Rattus norvegicus: one gene and its partners. The protein of the gene in region 3 interacts with the protein of the main gene of each other region in a biochemical or structural test. Links are inferred from orthologs where the notes say so. Each region holds a gene or a part of one and is shown on either strand. Other genes may lie near its edges. The genes, in order: Tie1, Tek and Angpt1.

What was found.
Region 1: the proteins of Angpt1 (region 3) and Tie1 interact in a biophysical measurement, tested with the Homo sapiens proteins (2 studies listed by BioGRID and IntAct, with this or other methods). The link is inferred for Rattus norvegicus from reciprocal best matches to the Homo sapiens genes ANGPT1 and TIE1.
Region 2: the proteins of Angpt1 (region 3) and Tek form a complex in vitro, tested with the Homo sapiens proteins (6 studies listed by BioGRID and IntAct, with this or other methods). The link is inferred for Rattus norvegicus from reciprocal best matches to the Homo sapiens genes ANGPT1 and TEK.

What each region holds. Positions count from the first base shown.
Region 1 is NC_086023.1:137,291,428-137,295,079, forward strand, and holds part of Tie1 (tyrosine-protein kinase receptor Tie-1 precursor), read right to left. Parts: intron 3,505-3,652; coding exon 3,214-3,504; intron 2,798-3,213; coding exon 2,507-2,797; intron 2,222-2,506; coding exon 2,031-2,221; intron 1-2,030. UniProt on the Homo sapiens protein: Transmembrane tyrosine-protein kinase that may modulate TEK/TIE2 activity and contribute to the regulation of angiogenesis.
Region 2 is NC_086023.1:114,788,680-114,792,331, reverse strand, and holds part of Tek (angiopoietin-1 receptor), read right to left. Parts: intron 673-3,652; coding exon 528-672; intron 266-527; coding exon 110-265; intron 1-109. UniProt on the Homo sapiens protein: Tyrosine-protein kinase that acts as a cell-surface receptor for ANGPT1, ANGPT2 and ANGPT4 and regulates angiogenesis, endothelial cell survival, proliferation, migration, adhesion and cell spreading, reorganization of the actin cytoskeleton, but also maintenance of vascular quiescence.
Region 3 is NC_086025.1:75,462,682-75,466,333, reverse strand, and holds part of Angpt1 (angiopoietin-1 precursor), read left to right. Parts: intron 1-3,343; coding exon 3,344-3,510; intron 3,511-3,652. UniProt on the Homo sapiens protein: Binds and activates TEK/TIE2 receptor by inducing its dimerization and tyrosine phosphorylation.

The DNA of each region.
Region 1 (3,652 bases), on a different chromosome or scaffold from region 3:
GCAGAGGCAGGGATGCTCCCTGTTCCTCCAGGATTCAAGGACCATAACAAAGAGGACTGTCCAGCTCTCTCTACTGAGCAGGGGCATCCTGGGCAGGGCCGATGGAAGGAAAAGGCAGCAGCTGAGCGGAGTAAGGGGTTGCAATTTGAGGACCCAGAGCAAGGTCCAGACGGACCATGCAGTGGACTCCCCAGGTGAGCCGATGACTAGCATGACATGTAAGTGTTGGGGACACAGATCACATGGGTTCACTCTGAGCATGTGCAGCTGAGGCATACAACAGAATACACATGTATGTTCTGTGGCTGCATCACATGCAGTAGCATCTATTCAAATACACATACACAAGAGAGCTGAAGGTGTGCCAGCATGGGGACACATGCATACACACATGGGAGGTACTTCTTTCTGCCCCACTACACGGCACGCGCATGAGCATGAATAGCTGTGTGCAGGAACATCTAAATTGATATTGGTAATGAACAGATGCTCGTTTCCTCCCTGCCTCGGTTCAGCATCTGGCTGTGTTACCCTCTCCCCGCCCCCCATGGTGGTGATGGCTTTCTGTGCGCACTGACCTCAGAGGCGAGATCAACAGAGTTCAGACAAAGAAGCCAGTTGAATCTCTGGACTCTGGATGGGATATTTAAAGACACAGCAGATGCCAGCCTTGATCAGTGAACTTTCAAAACAAGAGAGTTAGTGCAAGAGAGAGAGGGGGAGAAGAAGAGGGAGAGGGAGAAGGAGAGGGAGAGGGAGAGGGAAAGGAGAGGGAGAGAGAGAAGGAAAGGGAAAGGAGAGGGAGAGGAAGAGGGAGAGGGAGAGGAAGAGGGAGAGGGAGAAGAAGAGGGAGAGGGAGAAGAAGAGGGAGAGGGAGAAGAAGAGGGAGAGGGAAAGGAGAGGGAGAGGGAAAGGGAGAGGGAGAGGGAGAGGGAGAGGGAGAGGGAGAGGGAGAGGGAGAGGGAGAGGGAGAGAAGTGTTGTTTCTTTCCTTCTTTTCTTTCTGACATTTTGGGTGGTGCTCCAAATGTCTCTTAAGTGTCTTTAAATAGCAAGAGCCAAGCAGAATGGACCAAGGCCAGAGTCCTGATTCTAAGTGACAAGAGAAGGAAGTTAGGAGAAGACAGGAATCATGGGATAGGTGAACACGACAAGATAGGGCGAGTCTGGGTTTCTGAAGAGGTGTCAGCACCACTTCCCCATCCCATGTCTGTACAGGCCTGAGGGCCAGAGGCATGGCCTATAAGGGACTAAAAACCCAGAAAAGTTTGTAGAGTGAACTTCTCTCCAGTGGGAACGCAGGTGAGGCTGCAGGCCTTGTATACTTTAGAAGTCAAAGGTAATTATGTGAACAGTGTGGCCACACACTGCTGCCCTTTGAGGGGAGCAGCTAAGCCCAGGTGAACAGTTTCCCAGAGAGGCCCTGGAGTATAGTCTGGGGCTGGGCATGGTGGCGCACACTTTTAACCCCAGAACTCAGGAGGCAGAGGCAGGCCATCTCTGTGAGCTCATAACCAGCCTGGTCTATATAGAGAGACCCTGTCTCAAAAAAGAAAGAACAAAAGATCGGAGGCTGGGATGAGAGTCACAGCCAGTAAGATTCAGAACACAGATAAAGGCTGGCTTCCACATAAGGGAGGGCCAGTGATGACACAGGCCAGCATGGGCCCTAGTAGTGCTCCAGGATATCACCACATGATCCAAGCTGACCCCCAGGGGATGGGTAAGTGTAGAAGATAATTCCAAATGGTGTTCTCCAAGCCTTGAATGAGACCTGGTGAACTATGGAAGAGCTGACTTCTTTTTAACTGAGAATCTTAATTATCCAACCATTAATATGGATGGGCTCAAGAGCTGAGCTCAGTTAAAAAAGGAAAGAAAGTTCTATTTTGTATCCTAAAGGCTCACTTAGATGCACCTTAAAATTTTTGGCATGGACATGTGCATGCATACGTGTATGTACTCGCATGTATGTGGGTCCAACACACACAACAGACGGGACCGTGTACCCAGTGGGTATGGGACACTGACCGATCCTGACTGGTAGGTGAAGGTATGTCTCCGATGTAGGCAGCTTCTTCGGATACACACCAGGGCTAAAAGGGCAGCCAGGATGGTGAGGCAGGTGGCAGAGACGGAGCCTACCACAGCCAGGACCAGCTGCTGATCCAGACCGTCTTCAGCCACCCGGCTCTCTTGGACTGGGCTCGCACTCTGCAGCCCTAGACACAGGAAGGGACAGATTGTGGTGATGGCGCGGGTCAGGGAACCCAGAGGCCACCGTGGGATCCCACAGAGGGAGAGTTTGGACATCCTGGTCCACGCTATGGGGCGGTCTCGAGGATGACTCGAGTTCAGCAGGGGAATGGATTCAAGGTGGGAAAGTCAGGCTTGTATGTCTCTAGAAGTCTTGTGATGCCTTAGTTCCAGGTTTGGGGGTGAAGTGGAGGGACCCATGCAGAGCACAGTCCCGGGGGACCTAGGGATCACAGACCCCATGCTCTCACCATTACCCAGCGTGGTCTCTTCCACTGTGTTGCTCCAGTCGCCGAGACCCTGCACACTGGCCCGCACACGGAAGAGGTAGCGTGTGCTGGCATTGAGACCACGGACGGTGGTGCTCGTCTCCTCGGGTTTGTCTACATCCATCCACTGAGGGTCTCCTGAGCCCCCGGCCACCTGAATCTCCACAATGTACTTGGATATAGGTCCAGGCGGAGCCTCAGGATGCTGCCACATCAGACGGATCTCAGAGTCTGAGAGGGCCTGGGCACGGAGGTGGCGGGGAGCTGGAGGCCCTGGGGAGATGGGAAGGGGAAGGAAGGGATAGAATGAACTGTGAGGTCAGTCACAGTCACTCTAGCATGTAGTTTGCTTCGTGGATCCCAGCATGGGAGCCTTGTGCTACCTTCTCTCTCTTTCCCACTGGCTGGACTCATCTTCATCCCCACATGACCTTCACCTCCAAGCTGCCTCTTCCCTTGGTCACCTTGCCTCCCTAGGCCTCTTAGTAGCTTATGCTCCCCAACCCCCCATAGCCCTGTTCTTCACAAGAGTCGTAATCTCCTCATGTGCCCCTGATCCACATGCTCTAAGTGATGTGTGTCCTCTGGTATCTCCTATCTTTCCCATTCATCCTGGGTTCTCTCCACATCTACCCAGTCTCTTGCCACCTCCCCTTATCCCTAACCCATCATTCCCACAGTGGACCTACCGCTGAGGGGCAGGTGCACATGCGCAGAGGGTGAGGCAGGGCCCAGGAGGGTGCAGTGATACAGCCGCACATCCAGTTGGTAGTGCGTGCCAGGCGTGAGTCCAGTCAGGAGGGCAGTGCGGGCCTGGGGGGATGAGATGTTCTCCCGCCTCTCCTGTCCCCGGGCCCCATCCCACAGACGCAGCAGGAAACCATCCCCAGACAGTGGCACCGAGGGTAGAGACCAGCTCACCCGTAGCCTGTCAGGACCCTCCACGTTCCAGCTCTCTACCCACGGCTGCAGCAAAGGCTCTGCGGCCAGAGGTCAGAAGGAGTCAGAACCACTCAATGGGTGCTTGGGACTAAGTGGACCATTAATTCCCACTGGGCAAGGCTAGGACAAACTCCACTGGGAAAGGCAGGGGTCTTTGGAGGTGGACCAAGTCGTATTCTGAGTGGG
Region 2 (3,652 bases), on a different chromosome or scaffold from region 3:
TCTTCTATTAGCATGGGCTGATATGGCTAGGCGATTTTGGTATATAGGGGACATCTTTTTTTTCCTGGTACTAAACCTCCAGTTGGTGCCTTTTGAATCCAAACCTTACCTTGAATGTATTTCCAAGCCTGATTGACAGGTTTATAGAAGAGCTTCTTGGATTTGATCGGTCCATCCCCAAAGTAAGGCTCAGAGCTGATGTTGATGATAGCAAAGTTGTGTCCAGTGTCAATAACATTTGGGGCATGCAGGGGCTCTGGAAGAACTAAATGCAATTTTAGCAGTCAGCATCATTCTTAAGGGTTAGGGGTGCGCTATTGCTTAATCTCATAGCTAACTCTTCAAGAGTTCCGATTCAATCCTGTCTCCCCACCACTATCCCTGCTTTGGAACGATTCCTTAAAAGAGCCCTCTTCCACAATCCTTCAGTGGGTTCTAATTACATGAAGGCTTAAAATGGGGCCATGACTCAGCAGGCTCCATCACTGCTTCAAGAAAATGCCCTTGCCCTAGTGCAAGAAACATACCTTTGACAGAAATGTTGAAAGGCTTTTCCACCATCCCAGCCACTGTGTTCACACTGCAGACCCAAACTCCTGAGTCAGGAGGTAAGATCCGGTTGACAGTGAATATGGCCACTGAGAAATGATCTGTATGGTTGAAGTCATTTGGCTAGAAGAGTCAGTCAAACACACACACACAAAGTTAGAATTTCTTGGGGTACTTACACACAAAGGCTCACGACACATACTCCAGCTCATTGTTTAGTAGGAAGTTTTCTACGAGAGACTGAGGAGCTGAGCACAATGCTAATATAATCACTGGCTTATTTCCAAAGCTATTGTAGCAGCCCTGAAAGTTTGTATTGGACTGGTGCCCTCCGAGATCCTGCTGTTGTATTTGTGTTTGAAAGTGTTGAATAAACACTTACCAGCAAGGAGTTTAGTTCTTTTAAAACTGCCCTGGGTAGCATTTTTTTTCCTTTTTTAATGTGGTAGGTTAGAAGGACAAAGTAGCTTCCTGCCTATTTGAGGGGCTGTTAGGAATGGTGCAAAGGGAAAAGATACGTGGATCTAAAGACACATATGTCTCTATTCCTTTTGTCCACGTCCTCAGATACTTAACATCACACGTCCAGTTCCCTTTGTGCAAATATGAGGCAGGCAATGCAAAAAAGTTATGGGTAGAAGACTAAGAGGACAGCTGAATTAGAAGTTCCAGCAATGGTCTCTTCACAGAACAATAAAGCCAAAGAGGGGGGTTGGGGATTTAGCTCAGTGGTAGAGCGCTTGCCTAGGAAGCGCAAGGCCCTGGGTTCGGTCCCCAGCTCTGAAAAAAAAAAAAAGAACCAAAAAAATAAAGCCAAAGAGCTATTCACTCGCCAAAATGCCTTCAGAGAGCTGAGGGAATCAAGTAAAAGGAACCTGAAAATGTTGACTTTTAGCATGGAAATAAGAAAAGGTATACTGTAGAAGGAAGAAAGTAAACTTACTTGGAGTTCCCCCATCTCCAAGCGACATAGTGTGGAAAGAGATGCTACCCTTCCGCTGAGGGGAGATGACCTCCAATTCTTAGACCTTATCTAGTATCGGGCAGGTCGCAGTGAAGCCCAGTGTCAGGCAGAGCCTCATAGCCTTGCCCCACTACACATGTTTGTACTCTGTAAGCTAAACTGTTGGATCTTTATTGGCTAGGAAGTGCCTCCATCACCGAGACCTTTGGGCCATAGCAAGGAGCAAGATTCCATCAACCAAGGAGCAGAGAAGGAAGCTGAACATGGGACCTTACCTGGAGTTCAGTGCCAAACAGTGAGTCTAAGCATAAGATCGACTCCAAACACCTATATCCTGAGACCAGTGCTCAAGAAAAGAGCCTCCAGGAACAGAATATCTAAAACTGAATACAAGGAGGAGGAACTGGAATAACCAAACTAGGACAACACTAAATTAGTAAGGAGCTAAACTGGGAGTTTCAATACATGAAACACTCTGAAAAGGCCAAACCTATAGGTTATAGGCATAGAACAAGAATTTCTGTCTAAAGGCATAGAGCATATAAAACATATATATGCACATATATAAAACATTATAAAAGAAAAATTCCCAGAGCTAGAAAAAGACATGCCAATCCAGATACAGGAGTCATTTAGGTACCACAAAGACCGACCATAAAAATCCTCATTGTCTAGTTATACTTAGGAACACTAAATACACGGGACAAAGTGTGTTGAAAGCAAAAGAGAAACATGTCCCATATAAAAACAGGCCTATTGGGATAACAGCGGATATTCAACTGAAACTTTAAAAGTACAGAGGACTTGAAGTATTTCAGGTCCCAAAAGACAACAACTACCAACCCAGAAAACTACACTGAACAAACCTATCTGTCCTCAAAGAAAATCCAAAGCATCTGACAATGAGAAATAGACTAACAGAATTTATAACCACTAAGTCAGGTTTATAGAAAATACTTGAATGAGTCCTGAATACCCAAGGAATCCTGCAGAGGAAACAAAGCTGCACATACACCCATGGGCAAGTGTAGTCCATGTCCACATGCAAGTGAGGGCTGGCACAAGACAAGGCAGGGCCTGTGATTGGGCAGTGAGAAAGGAAGGCGGGACAGAGTTTTTTGTAAGGTGGGAGAGAGGAAAAGAAAGGAAGAACAAATGTGGAGGCAGAGAAGAAGGACCTTAAATGGCCACGGGTAATTATGAATATTTATTTCTTAAGGGATGGATTTTTATAGGAATTTGTCTTATCTAGGTAGGCAGTTTATATCATTATCAATTGGTTGTGAGTTTTTTGTGTGGACGTTTTGTGTATTGAGAATTTAAGATCTAAATCTGAGTGCTAAATTACAAGCTTATTGAGTTTTGATTTCAACGGGTAACTGGGAGTTATGACCATAACCACAGGGGGCAGATGCTGGGAATATGAGCAGAGTCCAAAGTAAGAGAGCCATGAGATAGACAGTCTCTTTATGAAAGTGGCATGGCGGTGATCTGCCTTGGGAACTAGATGATAGAGTTTTAAGAGGGCGGCTGCTGTGGAGGTCAGAGAGTAGCTAGCCGTCAGCAGTGTGGGATGGAGACTGGGAGCTTAGCAGGTGAGACGCTTTGTTGACTGAGATGAAAAACACCCCACAGATGTCATATGGCCCACGGAAGACAGCATTAGCGCAGGATGGTAGAGATTCTTTTTTTAATATTTACTGCTACAGAGAAGACTTTAATCCACACTAAAATAATAGTCAACCAAGAGAGGAAAATTACCAAACATTACAAATTCAATGAAATGGCATGAATCAATACACACCTTTCAATATTAACTCGAATATTAATGATCTCAATTTCTTGTTCAAAAGGCATAGTCCTTTTTTTAGTAAATACTATTTTTTTAAAAAAAGTAGGAACCATTTCTTTCTTGCCTACAAGAAATCCACAAAAGACAAGATACTACCTTAATGATACACCTTAAAGTTCTAGAAAACGAAGCCAGACCCTAAGTCAGTAGATGCTAAGAAATCATTAAAATCAGAGGAGAAATCCACGAATAGAAACAAAGAACAACAAAATACAGAGAATGAAAAACACAAGAATTGGCTCTTAAAATATAAGCAAAATGGAGCATCAAATTAACCAAAAGAGAGA
Region 3 (3,652 bases):
TGTGTGAACACTCAAGAGACCTGGATAATTGTCACTCTTATAACACTGCACACTTAACCATTATTTTGTAGATGATGAAATTGAGTCTCTTAAGTGAAGCACAAAGTCCCACTGAAAATTATGTCAAAGGGAGTCTTCAACTGTAGCAGAGATAAAGGGCCTGGTTACTTAACCCAAGCCAAGCCGTTGTTCCCCACATCAGATACATGGTGGTGTCTGATAAACTACCCAACAGTTTACTAATGTGGGAACCCATTTCGTTTCCCCTTTTTGGCTTATCTGTCATCTTAATGATGAAACAGTTGTTTCTGCTTCACCACACTTGGCCATTAGACAGTTTTCTCCTCCACTACCTCTCCAAAAGCCATATTGCTTTATTGTAGTAAAACTTTCTGCCCATTTAGAAAGTTTTCTAGGTGAGGTGCATGAAATTAAAATATGGTTTCTAAATACAAACTACAGGGTTTTCACTTCAGTTGTTTCCTCCTGAAAGGAAGAAAAATCTACAAAGCCTACTATTAGCAAGTAATGCTTTACTTTTGGGGAGGTCCTTTAGAGCTCCAGGCTGAGAGCAGGAGCAGAGGCTTTCTATTTTGTAGGAATGGCTCTCATGTTTGTCCATGTTTTGAGGCTCACCCGGGATCGATGCTCTTTCCCCTGGGGAAGCTGGGGAGTTTTATCCACACAACACTTTCAACAGCATGGAAATATGCGACCTAAGACTTAGCACTTCATCATTCCTGCCCTCTCTGCTCACATTTAATATGATTGCTGACTCTTTGCTTCAATGCTTTACGGCAAAGGGACTTGGGGAGTGGCTGCAGGGACAGCTCTGGCTAGTCTGAACTAAAAACTTCAAGAGAAATCCCAGAGGTTCTCCTTGTCTTTCAAACAATTGCAACAGTTGAAGAGTGCTAACTCCGAGTTTCGGCTCTGTATAACTTGCTATTCCGTGCATGCCTTGAAGAAGGAAAACTTTGGGTTTCTTAGCATGTAGCGCTTGCTCCTGTGAGATGCTGTAAAATCTTTAGCACATCCTAAAAATTTACAGATCTTTCCTGCTACTGTGTAGCTTTCAGTGTCTTGGGAGTAGGGAAGCAAAAATGAGGATTAAAACCCTAGAACCCACATAAACAACTATATGTTGTGGCAAACACTTATAGTTCCAGTACTGGAGGACTGAGACAGGAGGCCAGACTTTCTATCCAATAATGAGCTCTGATTGAGTAAGAGATGCTGTCTCAAAAAGTAAGGTGGGAAGTGACAAAGGGAACATAATAAAGAAAGTCCACAAATGTCAATCTCTGGCCTCCACATGTGTGCAGACTTATACATTAATTCACACCAATGCATACACATACACACTCACAAATACACACACACACACACACACACATACACACACACACACAGAGGGAGTCACTGGAGTACTAAGTGTAATGAATTCTGTATTTTGCCCTAATAATTCTCAGGGGAGTATACATGCAGTAGCATCCAGACAATGTGCAATTAGTTAAAATAAAAATCTAGTCAAAATAGAGAACTTTGAAAATATCTATACTCATATTAAATTTAAATACAAAGCTGTATGTGCGTGTGCTTGTGCATGTACGTGTGTGTGTGTGTGTGTGTGTGTGTGTGTGTGTGTGTGTGTGTGTGTGTGCATGTACATATCTGTAGCAAACTCTAGGCACTCTAGGCATTTGCTCTAACTAACTACTAAGCTGAAACAAAATGGACTGTGATCTGTTAATGTTGCAATAACAAACCTGGCAGATAGGGATTTGACACCAACTCTATCCATCTTTGAGAAGTGATTCTACGGGCAGAAACAATGGAAAAGGTTAGAGGATTATTAGTAGTCACTGAGGAACAGCATATTTTCAAAAAGAAATGGGGAATATTGATTCTTTTCTTATGTTGCTTAATGGGGGAAAGTTAAGTAAACTTATGTTTAATGTTAAAATTGATTTTAACTTGGAAAAGAAATATTTTCCATATTTTATTACCTTTGAAACAGTCAGGACTGCTGTAATTATTATAGTACTTTCTTTGCACTTTTAAATACAGATTAAGTCTTCATTGTAAATGCCCCCAATTAACCATGGTCCATTTCTTTGTTAAACAACCATGTATAATATATATCCTGTGATTACAGGGCCTACTCTTTTAAATGCTTGTATGCATAAGCATGATTACGGAGTTTGTCCAGATGAGAATTTGTGTGAAAAGTTCTCAAGCCCAAGACTCCATCTGGAAGCTGATTCTTTTGTTTTTACCAGCTCTCAGTTATATGGCTGAGAAGCAGCCAAATGTCCCATTGCAATGACCAAGTTTAGATGTTCCTCCTCTGAGGTTCTATAACATTTGCTCCTTTTGCCTTTCTTCCTTTCCTGTAAATGTCAGTGTCCACTGCTCACTGTATGACACTTCTTCATTAGTATTTGAGAATTCTCAAAGGTAGTACCCTTTTCTATTGCTAAGCAGCTCAAACCTGCTTCAGTAAGACAAACGGATAGAAAAGGAGCTAATTTGATCAAGTGCTACCAAGAGTAGCTTTCTGAGTTACTGTCAGAGGCCCCAAATCTATATCAGTAATTTCTCAATTTCTTTCTGGACCATTATCTTCAGTGAGGCATCAGTTTGGGGAGGGTACATTTTTTTCTCCCCTCCGCCCCAAAGTTGACAGTACTTACTTGCATGATTGGAAAACAATAAGGCCCCAGGGGGCTTCAGGTACAATTATGTCAGTTCATGCACTCCCTAGCCCTTGCTCCTCAGCCTTCCGCCTCCAAACCCCAATCTTGGCCAATGAAACAATCTAAGTGATCATGTGGACTGTTTTCTAAGCTCCATTTTTAAAATTAATTAGGAACTCAGTAAGAGAATTGAATCACTTGAAAGAGCGTAGTATAAAAGCATAGGGTAATGAAAAAGGGAAGCTCAATAACGGGAACAGCGAGCACATTACTATTATAAGGGTTGGGATCCCGATATTCAAATTATAGATATTCAAATTATGGAAATATCCAAAGTATGCTTACAATGTCAACTAACGTTTTTAAAACTTTGTCAAAAGAAAACCTTGAATTGAGAATTGTTTTCTGATCAATCTTCCTAATTAGGTGAATTTAGCCCAAGAGTGTCACAACAAACAGGTTTTACTATGTCAAGAATTAGATGTAAACGTCAATGGAGAAAAACACAACAGAAGTGTACTAGAATAAGTAATTACAGTGTAAAAAGCAAGCAAAACTGTATTTGTTATTGTTATTTAAGGAACATGAAAAAGTTCCCTCTGGAGTAACTCTGGAGTAACGAGTGTGTCTCTATTCTTTCCCAGGGTTTTGGGAATCCCTCTGGTGAATATTGGCTTGGGAACGAGTTCATTTTTGCAATAACCAGTCAGAGGCAGTACATGCTGAGGATCGAGCTGATGGACTGGGAAGGGAACCGAGCCTACTCACAGTACGACAGATTCCACATAGGAAACGAGAAGCAGAACTACAGGTAAGTTCCATCCAGTCCTGGGCTCGGCAGTCTTTGGCCTTGCCATAATAGCATGAAATGAAAAGCCAGACGTGACGCAGATGATCCTCTTTACTGAATATTCAAGGTTTCTGTCTAGCCCTGTGATGCTGAGATGGGGAAA